Linked DNA regions of Kluyveromyces lactis. The protein of the gene in region 1 purifies or fractionates together with the protein of each later gene. This does not show direct contact. Links are inferred from orthologs where the notes say so. Each region holds a gene or a part of one and is shown in the gene's direction. Other genes may lie near its edges.

Region 1 (4,399 bases):
TTCTTACTTCATATCTATTCTTTAGAAAGGTATTCTTTAGAAGTGTCTCGTAGTTTTGTCTTCTTGTCTTTCATGTAATTTATTACATTGTTAAATGTTATGGTCGTAATGCTTTTAATAAGTTCCTCGTATTCCTCGTTGATCTTGGTAACTGCTTCCGACTTTTCCTGCAATTCTATCTGGAATTGTTCATAAGTGAAAGGTTGCAACGATCGTTGGTATAAATTCGGATGGCGTTCACAAAGGTCGGCAAATAGATGAAGAGACTGCAAAAGAAGACTTGCTAATGTGAGGTGTAGAGAGTAATCCCCAAGACTTCTCTTATTAGATACCGACAGGTTGTACATTTCCGGATAAATAGTTATCACTTCGTTAATAATATCGATAGCATACGCTGAAAGGATATTGAGTCTTATGGCTAATCCATCCAAAGTTTCATCCCTAAGTGCTTCCTTTATCTTCTCTACTCCCTCAGTTAAATCACCTGCAAGAATTTGGTATGCAGAGAGTACAATAGGAAGTATTTGCACTTCTAACTCTTTAGCCCATCTGTTTATATTTCTTCTTGTAGCCAAAAGATCATCGGATGCCTTGGAAAACAATTCGTCATCATGCTCAAGACGTCTTCTTTCTGAGTCTATTCGCATGAAGGCGAATATAAATTCGCTGCTGATTTGCTCCGCAAAAGTAATTTCTCGCGACATAAAATGTGCAAATCCTAAATAAAACTTTCCAAGATCTATTACATCGTTCTTCCCATCATACATCACCAAAAAAGGATACTTCTTCCTCAATAATTCTGTTAGTTTCTCGCTATCCAGATGGTTAGCAGAACTTAAGTTGTTCCCACTCATTATTTTGGTACAAATAAACCAGTGAACCACCCCGATGTGATTATAGGCTTTGATGTTGATATACACCCAATAATGAAAAGTAAACGTGCACTTTCCACTGTTAACTTCTATTATAGTCATCCTCGGTTCAAAATACATTGGAAGCATCTTAGTATGGAATTGATCTCCAGTCACGTGAAGAGAATCAAATCCGTTTACAGTGATATATTCTCCCTTTAACCTGAATTTTTCAAAATTTAGTAAAAAAAAAACGCGACGCCAATAATGCATATATTATAGTTTTAAATTGAAGAGTAACATTAATAATTTTTGCAAACTATACCCATTGTTTAAGAGCTGGCAGGAAATTAAAGCAAAGGGACTCTTTGGTACTTTTATTGAAATAACCTGCAAAGCATTTCGTGGCTCGGTATTTCAAACTCATTGTTCTATTAGGCGTGGCAGTTGTCTTTTTTGGTTAGATATTGAGGACCCCATTGTGCTAATCTCAAGTAACAATGAGTGACGGAGGAATTGAAATTGATTTCCAAGCCTTTTATGATAGGTTTACAAAATTAGGGAAGGCATATTCTGGATTTGAAGGTTCTCCAAATAGTCTTCTCTTTGTACTTGGTTCGACTAATGAGGAAAACCCTTATCAAAAGACCACCATTTTGCATAATTGGTTGCTAGGGTATGAGTTTCCAGCTACATTGATTGCCTTTTTCAAGGATAAAGGTGTCATCATAACCAGCAGTGCTAAGGCGAAACATCTTTTGCCCGCTGTTACTAAGTTTGAAGGATCAGATTACAAACTTGAGATCTGGCAAAGAAATAACAAGGATGCAAATCACAATAAGAAATTGTTTGAGGACCTCATCAAGCTGTTATCAGAAAACGGTAATACTGTCGGTGTCCCAACGAAGGATTCATATCAAGGTAAGCTCATTCTTGAATGGAAACCGCTTTGGGAAGAAGCTAAAAAGACGCATTCTTTAAACGTAATCGATTGCTCTGCTGGTTTGTCTTCTACTTGGAAGGGCAAAGATGATAAGGAAAAGGCTTACCTTTCTGTATCCAGTAAGGGATCTGACAAATTCATGGATCTTATGTCAAATGAAATCGTCAATGCTGTTGACGAAGAACTAAAAATATCAAATTCTAAGTTGTCAGATAAAATTGAAAACAAGATAGATGATTCCAAGTTTTTGAAGAAACTTTCAAGTGATCTAAATCCTTTGTGTCCTACCGACGAGAAATTCGACGTTAATTTCCTTGATTGGGCCTATTCTCCAATTGTGCAATCAGGTTCTAAGTTCGACCTTAAGGTTTCTGCTCGTTCTAACAACGACTCACTTTTCGGAAAGGGTTCCATCCTAGCCTCATGCGGTATCAGATACAAGAATTACTGTTCCAATATCACCAGAACTTTTTTGATTGACCCGACAGATGAAATGACTGACAATTATGACTTTTTATTGATTTTGCAAGAGAAGATCATCGATGATTTATTAAAAGTAGAAGCTGATCCAACATCTATTTATGAAAAGACACTGGAATTCATCAAAGAAAAGAAACCGGAATTATTATCTCACTTTACTAAAAATGTTGGTTCTTTGATGGGGTTGGAATTTAGAGACTCTGCTGGTATGATCAATGCTAAACCAACCGCTCATAAAATTTCAGAGAATTGCTGTTACAATATTTCACTCGGATTTGGGAATTTAAAGGATAGTAAAACTGGTCAGGTATATGCTGTTCAATTAGCAGATACCGTTCAACTTTCTTCTGATGGAAAGCCATCCACTTTGACCAAGTACACAAAGGCTAGATCCCAAATCTCGTTTTACTTCAACAACGAAGAAGAGAACAAAGCTGCAACTGTTAAATCTGAAAAAAGCAAGCCTCCTGCTTTACCAAAACCTGATGGTACATCGAAGATTTTGAGATCTAAGCTACGTGGAGAAAGTCGTGCTGACGATGAAGAGAAAGAACAAATCCGCAAAGAGAACCAAAGAAAACTTCATGAAAGATTACAGAAGGAAGGTTTACTCAGATACAGTGATGCAGATGCAGTAGATGGCGATGAGAAGCCAAAGCATTTCTTCAAAAAGTACGAATCTTACGTTAGGGAAACTCAAATACCATCCAATGTACGTGATTTGAAGATTCATGTCGACTGGAAGAGTCAGACAATCATTCTACCAATCTATGGTAGACCTGTACCTTTTCATATCAATTCATACAAAAACGGTTCTAAAAATGAAGAAGGTGAATACACTTATCTCAGATTGAATTTCCATTCTCCTGGTGCTGGAGGTGTCGGTAAGAAAACTGAGGAGTTGCCGTATGAAGAGAACCCAGAGAATCAATTTGTTCGTTCTCTAACTTTAAGATCTAAGGATGGTGCTCGCATGAGCGATGTTTTCAAACAAATTACTGATCTTAAGAAGGAATCTACCAAACGTGAACAGGAAAGAAAAGCTTTGGCTGATGTTGTTGTCCAGGCTAAATTGGTGGAGAACAAAACTGGTAGGACTAAACGTTTGGACCAAATCTTTGTCAGGCCTAGTCCCGATACCAAGCGTGTGCCAGGTACGGTGTTCATTCATGAAAATGGTATCAGATACCAGTCTCCATTGAGGACAGATTCAAGAATTGATATCCTATTCTCAAACATCAAGAATCTATTCTTCCAATCATCAAAGGGAGAACTTATTGTGATCATTCATGTTCATCTAAAGAATCCTATTTTAATGGGTAAAAAGAAGATCCAAGATATTCAATTTTACAGAGAAGCATCTGATATGGCTGTCGATGAGACAGGAAACAGCAGACGCAACAACATGAAATTTAGAAGATATGGTGATGAAGATGAATTAGAACAAGAACAAGAAGAAAGAAGAAAACGTGCTGCCCTTGATAAAGAATTTAGATATTTTGCTGAAGCTATAGCAGAGGCATCCGATGGTCTCCTAGATGTAGATTCTCCATTTAGAGATCTTGGTTTCCAAGGTGTTCCTTCTAGATCAGCCGTGTTCTGTATGCCAACGAGAGACTGCTTAATTCAATTAGTTGAACCGCCATTTTTAGTCATAAATTTGAACGAAGTTGAGATTTGTATACTTGAAAGAGTTCAATTTGGATTGAAGAACTTTGACATGGTCTTTGTTTATAAAGATTTGACAAAGCCTGTTTCTCATATAAACACTGTACCAATTGAGCAACTTGAATTCATTAAGACATGGTTAACAGATGTTGATATTCCATATACTGTTTCTACAATTAACTTGAACTGGTCGACAATCATGAAGTCGCTACAAGATGATCCTCATCAATTCTTTTTGGATGGTGGGTGGTCGTTCTTGGCAACTGGATCCGATGATGAAAGATCTGATGAGAGCGAGGAAGAAATTTCAGAATACGAGGCATCTGATGAGGATCCATCTGATGAGGAAGTGTACTCTGAAGAAGAAGAGGATTATTCGGATGACGAAAAATTCAGTGATGAAGGGTCAGATGATTTCGCCGATGGATCAGAAGATGACGAAGGTGATGACTGGGAT
Region 2 (4,313 bases), on another chromosome or scaffold:
ACTTACTCTCAACCATACTTTGAAGATGGTTATGTTGGTCAAGGTGGTTACGCATCTCACATCAGAGTCCACGAACATTTCGTGATTCCAATCCCAGAATCTTTAGAAACCAACAATGTTGCACCATTGCTATGTGGTGGTGCCACTGTGTATTCTCCATTGAAGAGAAATGGATGTGGCCCAGGTAAGAAAGTCGGTATCGTTGGTATCGGAGGTATTGGTCACATGGGTATTCTATTAGCCAAAGCCATGGGTGCCGAAGTGTACGCCATCTCTAGATCCCATGCCAAGGAGGAAACATCCAAGCAATTGGGTGCAGACCATTACATTGCCACTGAAGATGAAGGTTGGGAAACCAAGTATTTCGATACATTGGATTTCATGGTTCTATGTGGTAACTCATTGTCGGCCGTTGATTTCGGCAAGCTACCAAAGATTTTGAAAGCTCAAGGTGTTATTGCATCCATTTCTGTCCCTGATCAGCATGAAGCCATACATTTACATCCAGCGCAACTTCTAGGATTCCAGATTACTCAATCTTGTCTAGCATCTCGTGCAGAAATCATTGAAATGTTGAACTTGGTGGCTGAAAAGAAGATCAAACTATGGGTTGAAACGGTTCCAATCAGTGAGGAAAATATCTCCACAGTGTTCAAAAGAATGGAAAGCGGTGATGTTCGTTTCAGATTCACACTAACTGACTTTGATAAACAGTTTGACCAATTCAAAGCCAAGAAATAGGCGTTGAACTGTATAAATTATATAGATGGTTGACACGTTGTTCATAGCTTAAGTCACTTATATATACATACTATGACATAAACGTCAAAATGGAAACACACATAAAATACAACCTACAATTTATACACATTGCAAGGAACGGCTTTCATAAACACCAGAGGACGGTAAGGGTACAGTAAAGTGCATGAAATGCAGTCACTGTAGCCAAGGTTACCTTTCCAGTAACCGAAAATTTCTCGAAGAAGAGCAACAAGATCATGGGAAATATTTGCTAACTGAGCTGGTATGAAAGATACAAAAAAATACAGATATCACGTGACCATCAAGAAACCGAAATTTTTGATGCAGCAGTAACATGGATCTGTATTGTTTTGCTTCATTTCATAGGAGAAAGAATGATATAGGCAACCGGTTTTTGTAAATGTAAGACCTAGATTGCTTGCTGTTAGTTTCGTTTACTATAACTCGGACTTTGTGAGTTCTTGTGAGAATGTGTTTTTAGAATAGACATTCTTCTCTTCTAAAACTAGTAAAGGTACTATCCTCTCTATTTGTTTACCTTATATTGAAAGAAGAAATAATAATTCATCAAGTGGCAGTCATCGCATATTTAAGAATGACGACTTCTAAGCGAAATAGACTGCTGAAGGAACTTCTGATTGATGATAATATACATTCCAAAGTACAGGCTGATTTATGGGACGCTGGAGATGGTGGAGTACGACGGAAACGCACCAGAGATAGACATGACAAGTCGTCGGATCATATAGGCTATAACGGTGCTGATGATTCTGGGGTGCAACCGGAGAAGAATAAGGACAAGAAACTTAAAACGATTGTTATACCATCTGATTGGAATGAGATGAACAGCCATGTGCAATTTTCAGACGATCGTAGAATTATTACTATCAGGTATAATCCGTTGAAGTTGCTTGATTTCAATCAAGTGTTGAACAGAGGCAGCGATCTCGACGTAAAAGTACCGTCAATTCCGCTAAATGGCATTGACTTTGAGATATATGAAACTGAAAATTTGTTAACATCTCTTGATAACGATGCTCAGTTCCCTTATCGTGGCGCAATTGAAAATAAGCAGGATTATACAACTCATAGGACCATTCCTCGTGTCAAAGATAGAGAGTTTTTTCTAACTTTGCTGCGTAAGTCCCAAACAGCAGCTCGTTTCAATGGTAACACACTCCTGGCATTTCCAAATGATGAAGCTCATAATCAAGATAAGAAACGGTTAAAGCCAACAGCTTTGATGCATTCTGCGAAGACAACCAACGTGGAATATGTTTATTTCCAAAATTATGAGATCAAAACTTGGTATAAGGCTCCCTACCCTGAAGAGTATAACAAGAACGAAATTATCTATATTTGCGACAAGTGTTTGAAATATATGAGTTCAAAGTATGTCTATTATAGGCATCAGTTGAAATGTGATTATATCCACCCGCCAGGAAACCAAATTTATAGAGATATGGACCAAGGGTTCGCCATTTGGGAAGTAGACGGAAGAGAGAACGTTATTTATTGTCAGAATTTATGTTTACTAGCGAAACTTTTTTTAAATTCGAAAACTTTGTATTATGACGTGGAACCCTTTATGTTTTACACCATAACAGTATGGGAGGACGAAGAATGGAAATTTGTTGGATATTTTTCTAAGGAAAAGCTAAACTCAACTGGTTATAACCTAAGTTGTATTCTTACTTTACCACATTTTCAAAGGCGCGGTATCGGACATCTACTGATGGACTTTTCATATCTCTTATCAAGAAGGGAATTTAAACTAGGCACTCCCGAGAAACCTTTGAGTGATCTTGGTTTGGTATCTTATCGAATATACTGGAAAAATAAGATGGTGCAAACGCTTAATATGTTATTTGAAGAACTGGGTGATTCATTCGCTTGTACCATAGACGACTTGTCCAATCTAACCGGTATGAATCATTCGGATGTGATATTCGGCCTGGAACAGATTGGATGTCTATACAAATACAACGATGAAGCCTCAGGTAAATGCAAATATGCAGTGAAAGTAGAAGATTGGGATATCTTGTGTCAGTTATTTGAACAGTCTAGAGCGAAAATGAAATATACTTTGGACCCTTCCAGATTTGTTTGGAAGCATGTCATTTTCGGTCCTTCGTGTGGAATCAATGCCGTTGGAACCATGGTAGAAACAAATGTTAGCCAGCAAAGAATTACGTCTGCCGCTGGTTCAACAGCTGCTGATCCATTCAAACAAAGTATATCTGTTCTAACGAATTTTATGAGTGACGATTTGGCGGATCCAAGAACGATGGAAGAAGCTGCAATGGAAAAGATTAAGCAACAAACTATTCCTGTATCCTTGTCTGATAAATCTTTAGTTCGAGCATATACACTTCCAAGCAATATCAAGGAAAAAATCATTAAGGCAAGCAAAATAAAACCTGAATTCAAACAACTCAATACGAAGCTCGGGGGGACTATTCCAGCTCTCAATGAAGGTACACCTTCTGGCGATGCTTCTGATGCCAAAACACTGATCAGCGGAGGTATGCACGATGATATAAATGGCGATGAGCAAGAAATTGAGGAAGAGTTTGAAGAGGCAGACGGTTTAGAAGATGAAGGTTTCTCGCTAGATGATGCAGAAGCTGAGGAGTATTCAGATGATGATGAAGATGATGATCAAGTGCCACCGCCTCCAGAGGAAATAGCGACTCCTAGGGTCAGTAGATCTCTAAGAAAACTCAGACAGCACAATCCCGTAGAAAATGAAGTTCAGCAAAGACCACAGAGAGTCTTACGGAATAGAGTTTGAATATTAATTAAAGGATAACCTAATCATAGTAATGCGTGGCCATGACATGTGTTTATGAGAAGAAAACTGATAATAGTGTAATATCTAATATATGCATGTATATATGTATATGATTGTAAGAATAGCGAAAATTAATGCCATCATTGATATAGCAGTAAAATGTAAATAACAAAACAACGTAATAGTACGCACTTTTCATTTAAGTGTTTATGCAAAAGGAGCAGCCCGTGTCCCTTTGCTATAATAAACTGAATAGGGACATTATTATGACAAAAAATAACCATATGGTACAGTTCAAATGATTTGGCATAAAGATAACACTGTAACAGTATTATTGATGTTCTATTGTAGTTATAGTACTTGTACAATGGGGTCATAATCAGGAAAGTGTGTGCGTTTATGTGATAGTAAATCAACGACAATGATGATTGAAGTAGCAGCGACTGGCGCCACGATACACTTCGGGGTTCATGTTCATACATGTCTGAAAGTGGTTTGTAAAGTAGTTTTTTAAGTTTTTGGTTCTTGATAATGGTATTAATACAGACAGTTTATCATCAAACAATGTGCTTGAATATCGTATTCAAACTAGGCAGTGGCTGAGTTGGCACTTGCGGTAGTCGATGGTTTTGTGGTGGTTGAGGAGATTGCGATGAATTCGGAGTGAACTGGGGCGTTTGTTCATTACTAGCCTGTGTTTGAAGAATTTGCTTCGGTACGCTGGCAGGCATCCTATTGCCATAAAAAGATGAGTTGT
Region 3 (3,374 bases), on another chromosome or scaffold:
GGTACTGTATGCAATTGACAAAGCTTTTGTTTCCATGCTTCTACTTTATTTTACTAGTGTAAGCGATACTGGCAATGTCTCTCAATAGAAAAATATCATCGATCGTATTGAAAGGAAAACTACGAAAGAAATCATTAAAGGAGTAGAAAGGGTAAATGTAAATACATCAAGCAAACTGAAGAAAACTCATTGAGCGTGGTAACTAGTTGTAAATATACTGAAGATACGGAACTAGAATGTCTGTGGACGAGAAATATGATGCTGCTTGCGAGCTTTTATACAGATTGGATCCAACAAAGGTGAAAACCCATTTACAGAACCTTATTGCGTTGGAGCCTGAAATCGCAGAAGGATTACTTTCCTCAATTGATATCCCATTGACCATTAAGAAGGATACCGATGCTAACAACAAAGAATTCTTATGTTGCGACTACAACCGTGACATCGATTCTCATAGGTCACCGTGGTCTAACCAGTACTTCCCTGAATTGAGTGCCGAAGATTTGAAAGAAAGTCCTTTTCCCAGTGAGCCATTGAGAGAACTAGAAGTTGCATGCAACAATTCTTTCGAGTTGTATAGGGACCTATACTACGAGGGTGGTTACACTTCAACGTATCTCTGGGACGTTGATGAATCAACTGATTTCGCGGGAGTCATTCTTTTCAAGAAAGCTGAATCAGATGATTCTAAATGGGACAGTATCCACGTCATATCTGCCACCCACGATGAAGAGGGTATGGAAGTCACATATAATGTCACTACAACGGTGATCTTGCACTTGGAAAACCTATCAAAAGAACAACAACTATCATTGTCCGGTAATCTAACTAGAGAAAATTCCAAGACCGTAAAATTGCAAAACGTATCTACTGTTGAACAGCTAGTACCCGCTCACTCTTCCAGCTTGGGATCTATGATTGAAGATATTGAATCTAAGCTTAGATCAATGCTCGAAATCGTGTATTTCGAAAAGACGTTGGATATTTACAACGTGTTGAGAGAACGTAACGATGATTCTACCAAATTGCAAAAGGAGCAACACTCCGAATTAATTGAAAACTTCCAGAAATTATAATCAATTGAATAAATAAAGTAAGAAATTATACACACATACACTACGTATAAATGCTAAATGAACACCATTATATTTTGCCGGTTCGTCAGTCAACACAATTATTGGCTAGAATTGTTCTATACATAAAACCGTTACCCTAACTCCTCATACTGTAGTTTCGAAATGTCAATTTTTGCAAGAGAGACATGAACTGAAAAGAAATCAGATAACCCAGAAATGAAAATTCCAGTTTGAGTATAGGCATTACAAAAGCTTCAAACGTACTGGATTATATACGGTGAGTGGTTTGGATTTCTCGGACTCATTATTACCACTGTTTATAGAAATAGAAAAGGTCAACAAAAAACTGGCTGGCAATCGTTCTCGTTGTTAATTTCGTGGTAGTTTTAGAGACTTTCCAGTACATTATTAAAAGGAAGATGAAATCGAAAGTGTGGAGTGAGGCAAGAGTCTATAGTGATGCCAACGAGATTCGTGGTCAAAGATACTGGGACTATGAAAATACATCAATAGAATGGAAGGCTAATAACTCACAGTACGAAGTTGAATGCAAAGTTGGCCGTGGTAAATATAGTGAAGTTTTCCAAGGCGTACAGTTATCCACGAGAAATAAGATTGTCATTAAGATGCTAAAACCTGTGAAGAAGAAGAAGATTAAGAGAGAAATTACCATACTTGCAAACCTCTCGAATGAGAAGAATCCGCCAACTGCGCAACCTTACGATGAGGCAAAATATTACACAAACAGAAGAGAAGAAGTACTGAAATATGCGAGAGATAAAGTATATGACTTACCTCATAACGGGCATGAGAATATTATAACATTGTTAGATGTGGTCAGAGATCCCATATCCAAGACACCTGCATTGATTTTTGAACATATCGACAATACGGAATTCCGTAGGTTGTATGCTTCATTTTCGGATCTTGATATTCGTTATTATATGTTCGAGCTTTTGAAAGCTTTGGACTACTGCCATTCGATGGGTATTATGCATAGAGACGTCAAACCACACAATGTAATGATTGACCATAAGCAACACAAATTGAGACTAATCGATTGGGGTTTGGCTGAATTTTATCATCCATCGATGGAATACAATGTCCGCGTTGCGTCAAGATTTTTCAAGGGCCCAGAACTTCTAGTTGATTATAGAATGTACGATTACTCGCTAGACTTATGGTCATTTGGAGCAATGTTAGCATCAATGGTTTTTCTGAAAGAGCCTTTCTTCTATGGGTCGAGTAATACTGACCAGCTAGTCAAGATTGTACGCGTCTTGGGTAGTGATGATTTCGAAAGATATTTACAGAAATATCAGATAACACTCCCAGATGAGTTTATTGATATGGATCAATACATCAGAAGACCATGGCAGAAATTCGTCAATGATTCCAACAAGCACCTATGTGGAAACGATGATATCATTGATTTAATCGATAATCTTCTTCGTTACGACCATCAAGAAAGATTTTCTTGTAAAGAAGCTATGGCTCATCCATGGTTTGCTCCAATTAGAAACAACGAATACACATTATAACCGTTCCATAGATCAATATTTTTATGAAGTTAATAATAATAATAATACTAATAACAACTGTGTGAGCTTTCCTATAATAAGTGTTGGAGGATATATTTTGATCGGGTGCTTCTAAATCTACGAATTTATTATTGACATTCATTGAGAAAGTTTTCAGATGTTGTGGAACTGTTTTGATCCTGAAGCTGAGCCCAGTCAAGCATTTGAAATTCTGCAATGAACGTTTTGTCTTTCAACATCAATAACTCACTCTGAACATACCTCTTGCTTTGAAGGATATTACATCCGTCACAATGAACTTCTCTGCAGTGTTCCAAAATCGATGACAAAATCTGTAGACAGAATCTGAATGCTAGTCCGAAATAGGGAACAATAGGAATTGTTAATCTTTTTCCGAACTTCATAAGATATTCCCACCTTTTCTGGAAAATAACGTGAAAGGCAGAATCCGTTCCTGCCTTTAAATCACTCCAAAATGTTTGTGAATCCAGTAATTTCTCTTTGATCAATAGTTCCATGGTGTATAGGACATGACAAGCAAACCGGATTTTTGTTACATCGTCATCGCCCAAAAGGACTAATCTAACTAGGAATTTAGAATGATACGAGCAGATATTCTGAAGGTGATATTCGGAGACGGAAATATCGAATTGCCTTTTCAAAACTTTTGTATAAAGTTCTCTGTTGTACATTTCTTTCGTGATAAATCTATCAAATAATGTCTCATGCAAGTATCGGCGAGACTTTTTATAATCAC
Region 4 (3,369 bases), on another chromosome or scaffold:
CAAATATGGGAATGTGCTTTCCAAGCGTACCCTATCCTTCGCACGGAGTTAGAACTCGAAATGAAATCATTATTTGATAACAGGTGGTATAAAAGGACGTACCCATGGTTATCTCGTTCCATGGAGCTGCAATCATATGAGAAAACTTCGGACGTCACAGGAGATGACACTTTTTCCAGAAGAAATGAACAACGGGTCGACACTAAACTTTTGAAAAGGGTAGAGAAGATCTTAGAAAACGGTCGTTACCGCCGTGCGAGAACGATAATAATGGATCAAGCCAGGTTAGGGATAAGGCCTAATTTTCAGTTCTTCTACACCTTGAAAAAGTTCTGTGTGAACAAAGGCCACTTACCGATGTGTAACATTTTGGATACGACGCTCAAGAGCTCGTATAGGACCATTCCTTTGAAGGTCAAAATTCTAAACTTACGTGCAAACTTGTACAAATTAGCATATCAACTACGGAAAGCACAACAACCTAATGAAATCATGAGATCTCAGAGTTTAAAAATGATCGAACGATTTGTGAAGGAGCATCAACGCGAATTGAATTTCCAGAACTATATCCAATTGGCCATGTTAGCGTCTCGATACAAAGGCAGATACCTATGTGACAAATTATTTGCAAAGAGCATTGTGACCAGGGACCCAACGGACAGTAGGGCTACTTATATCATATACAGGTCATTGCTTGCATTTTTCGTGAGGTTAAAGGAGCCAAAGAAATTTTTATCAACTTTAAAGAAGTTGAATAACGAATCCCATGTTATCGTCACTAAATATTTGTTGAGTACTGTGAAATACAACATCGCTTACTTTGATAAATTTAATTGTGAGGATACCAACGCAATGATAGTGGAGTATGAGAAACTACGAAAAAGATATGCCTTTACCAAGCTTGAAGGGCTAGATGCCATCAAAGAGTTAATGACGTATCTAAGAAAATGGTTAGATCATGAAGTATACAAGCATCAGACTTCAACTTATCAAAAACAGTTGGAACTGGAAAAGCAGTATAGAAAGGCACCCAAAGAGGTTGTGAAATAGGACACTGGCACAACACAAGCTCAAATAAAGAGCTGTTAAATATATTTCTCTGCGTCCTCGTCTTACCATTGTCATCTCTCCACTTGTAAATAGAATATCGGAGAGAATGAAAACTAGGCCTGACGTATATACCTTAGCATCAACATCATCAACAACAAAATTTAATTCAGCATTTCAATATATGTAAAGATATATGTATATTTATTCGAGAATAATATCCCAATTATAAGAACTCTTACTTAGCCGTACGCTATATCTTCGTCTCTTGTGCATTACATTGTTGCCATTATTTCGTTCAGTTTCTTAAAAAGAAAAGCCCTTAAGACCAAAAACAGGAAAAAACCTTTAAAAAGCTGCGATTGCGAAACAATACATCGCGAGATGATTAGGGATACATTATTCAATTGGATGGCAGGCGAACCCGCTTTATATTAAGAAACGATAACTTCGATCTTCACCTCATTATCAAGATGAACGGACATTTACATACGGTTATACCGAAAAAATCCAATGCGGATCATTTACGAATCGTGGGCAGAGTGCTTGATTCCACAGTATGCACGATATGCCACGATTATATGTTTGTACCAGTCATGACGAGCTGTGGACACAACTATTGTTACGAATGTTTGAATAACTGGTTGAACAACAATCGATCCAACGTATCAGAATTAACGTGTCCGCAATGTCGAAATGTGATTACCAATGAACCATCGTTGAACGTTGCCTTACAACAAATAGTCGATCTGATGCTAGATATAGCAGCGGAGGACCCACAGAAATCGAATTCCTCCGAAGTACGATCACTGCTCACACAAAGAGAATGCTCCGTTGCTGAATACAAGTCTGACCTGTTGGAAGAAACGCTATTCAACAGTGTGTTTAAGAATACTGCCAAAGCCATCATAGACGATGATGACGATGGGATAGCAAGGTGTAGCAATTGCCAATGGGAAGTTGAGGGTCCCGTGTGTCCTAACTGCAATGCTACGATACGGAATTATAATGCGGGTGCACAGAACTTCGACGAAGTTGATGTGGATGAGTACTCTGACGGAGAACTGGAAGAGGTTGAGAGAGATTTGGACAATTATAGAGCCGAGAGTGCACGTACTGTGCACGATTTGGAAGCCGAAGAGGGAGATGAGAGTCTCAGTTCAGAGATGGACCAGGCATGGCCCACAAGACGGCCTAGGAACTTTATGCATGGAGAAGAAGAAGAGGAGGAAGAGGAAGATAGAGGATCGATAGATTCGTTCATAGTGGATGAGGAAGAAGAAGAAGAAGAAGAGGAAGAGGAACAAGAATTGAAAGATGAACGGAAGTTCCGTAGAGCATCTGTTGCCCTCTCAGATGACGATGACAACGAATCTCGCGACAGTGATTTCTACGAACATAATGACGATGGATACGCGAGTGGTGACTCCCTTGACGAAAGTACTAGTAACGACGAACTAGAACCGCACACCATCCGTCTCACTCATAGTCAAGACAACAACAACAACAACAACAACAACTCCGCGCGTAAGAAACGTCTCATAGTCCTAGACTCTGATGAGTAACAATAACAGCGTATATACACCTTGTACAACCTTCTAACGATACTAAAAGTCACGTGTAAACCACCATCACGTGCAACAACCCCGCAGTTACCCTGAATGTCCCCGTATCTTTTCCCAGCCTATGGAGTTTTCGCTGTTTAGAGGGAAGTTGAATTTTCACACCACTCGAAAGCCAGTAGGGGAATATCAGATACTGAGATTAAAAAAAATTTTGGAAGAAATAAACTGTTATGATAGTTAGTTTACACTTGGTGAATACAGTTTTCGATTTGATTCATAGTATTTGTATATTTTGTTTGTTGTTCATCGATTGCCAATACATTTGTTTAATCATAGCCCCAAACATTGAACGATGCCTTCTCCAAGCAAAATTATTGAACTACAAAAGCTGTTCCAACACTCTTCTAAGCCATTGTGGTCTAGACATCCAAGATCGGCTTTCTACTTGTACCCATTCTGGGGTTTGTTTACTGTGGCCCTTGTTGCTCCATTGCTATACATTCCAAATGCTATCATGGGTATTAAGGCTAAGAAGAACTAAGAACTGTTACGTTGTGTATGAATGAATGAATGAAATCCCGAGAGGTTTTTTCGTTAATTATTTTATTATCAAGATACGTCCAAAAATATCCCATATTCACTTTCCCTTATGTTATTACCATGTTAAAAGAGCGAACGAATGAACGAAAATGCACAGCAACAGTATTAGGAAGATATGTTCTTTGCTTCTCTTGTTGAGAAATCTGTTTGTTTCAAA

Evidence for each region. Proteins that work in one complex are often made in the same cells at the same time.
Region 2: the proteins of SPT16 (region 1) and SAS3 purify together in Saccharomyces cerevisiae (affinity purification with western blotting; 4 studies listed by BioGRID, with this or other methods). This does not show direct contact. The link is inferred for Kluyveromyces lactis from reciprocal best matches to the Saccharomyces cerevisiae genes SPT16 and SAS3.
Region 3: the proteins of SPT16 (region 1) and CKA1 purify together in Saccharomyces cerevisiae (affinity purification with mass spectrometry; 9 studies listed by BioGRID). This does not show direct contact. The link is inferred for Kluyveromyces lactis from reciprocal best matches to the Saccharomyces cerevisiae genes SPT16 and CKA1.
Region 4: the proteins of SPT16 (region 1) and PSH1 purify together in Saccharomyces cerevisiae (affinity purification with mass spectrometry; 8 studies listed by BioGRID, with this or other methods). This does not show direct contact. The link is inferred for Kluyveromyces lactis from reciprocal best matches to the Saccharomyces cerevisiae genes SPT16 and PSH1.

What each region holds. Positions count from the first base shown.
Region 1 is NC_006042.1:906,627-911,025, forward strand, and holds the start of SPT16 (chromatin-remodeling protein SPT16), read left to right. Parts: upstream 1-1,351; coding exon 1,352-4,399. Other genes in the region: KLLA0_F09867g (uncharacterized protein), read right to left, coding at 15-1,124. UniProt on the Saccharomyces cerevisiae protein: Component of the FACT complex, a general chromatin factor that acts to reorganize nucleosomes. The FACT complex is involved in multiple processes that require DNA as a template such as mRNA elongation, DNA replication and DNA repair.
Region 2 is NC_006041.1:1,770,421-1,774,733, forward strand, and holds SAS3 (histone acetyltransferase), read left to right. Parts: upstream 1-1,357; coding exon 1,358-3,556; downstream 3,557-4,313. Other genes in the region: KLLA0_E19889g (NAD(P)-dependent alcohol dehydrogenase), read left to right, coding at 1-741; KLLA0_E19933g (SANT/Myb-like DNA-binding domain-containing protein), read right to left, coding at 4,114-4,313. UniProt on the Saccharomyces cerevisiae protein: Catalytic component of the NuA3 histone acetyltransferase complex, that acetylates H3K14. The NuA3 HAT complex has 2 functionally distinct forms.
Region 3 is NC_006041.1:381,379-384,752, forward strand, and holds CKA1 (casein kinase 2 catalytic subunit CKA1), read left to right. Parts: upstream 1-1,495; coding exon 1,496-2,617; downstream 2,618-3,374. Other genes in the region: CAP2 (F-actin-capping protein subunit beta), read left to right, coding at 237-1,076.
Region 4 is NC_006038.1:766,288-769,656, forward strand, and holds PSH1 (ubiquitin-protein ligase PSH1), read left to right. Parts: upstream 1-1,520; coding exon 1,521-2,612; downstream 2,613-3,369. Other genes in the region: PET111 (Pet111p), read left to right, coding at 1-1,050; COX7 (cytochrome c oxidase subunit VII), read left to right, coding at 2,965-3,153.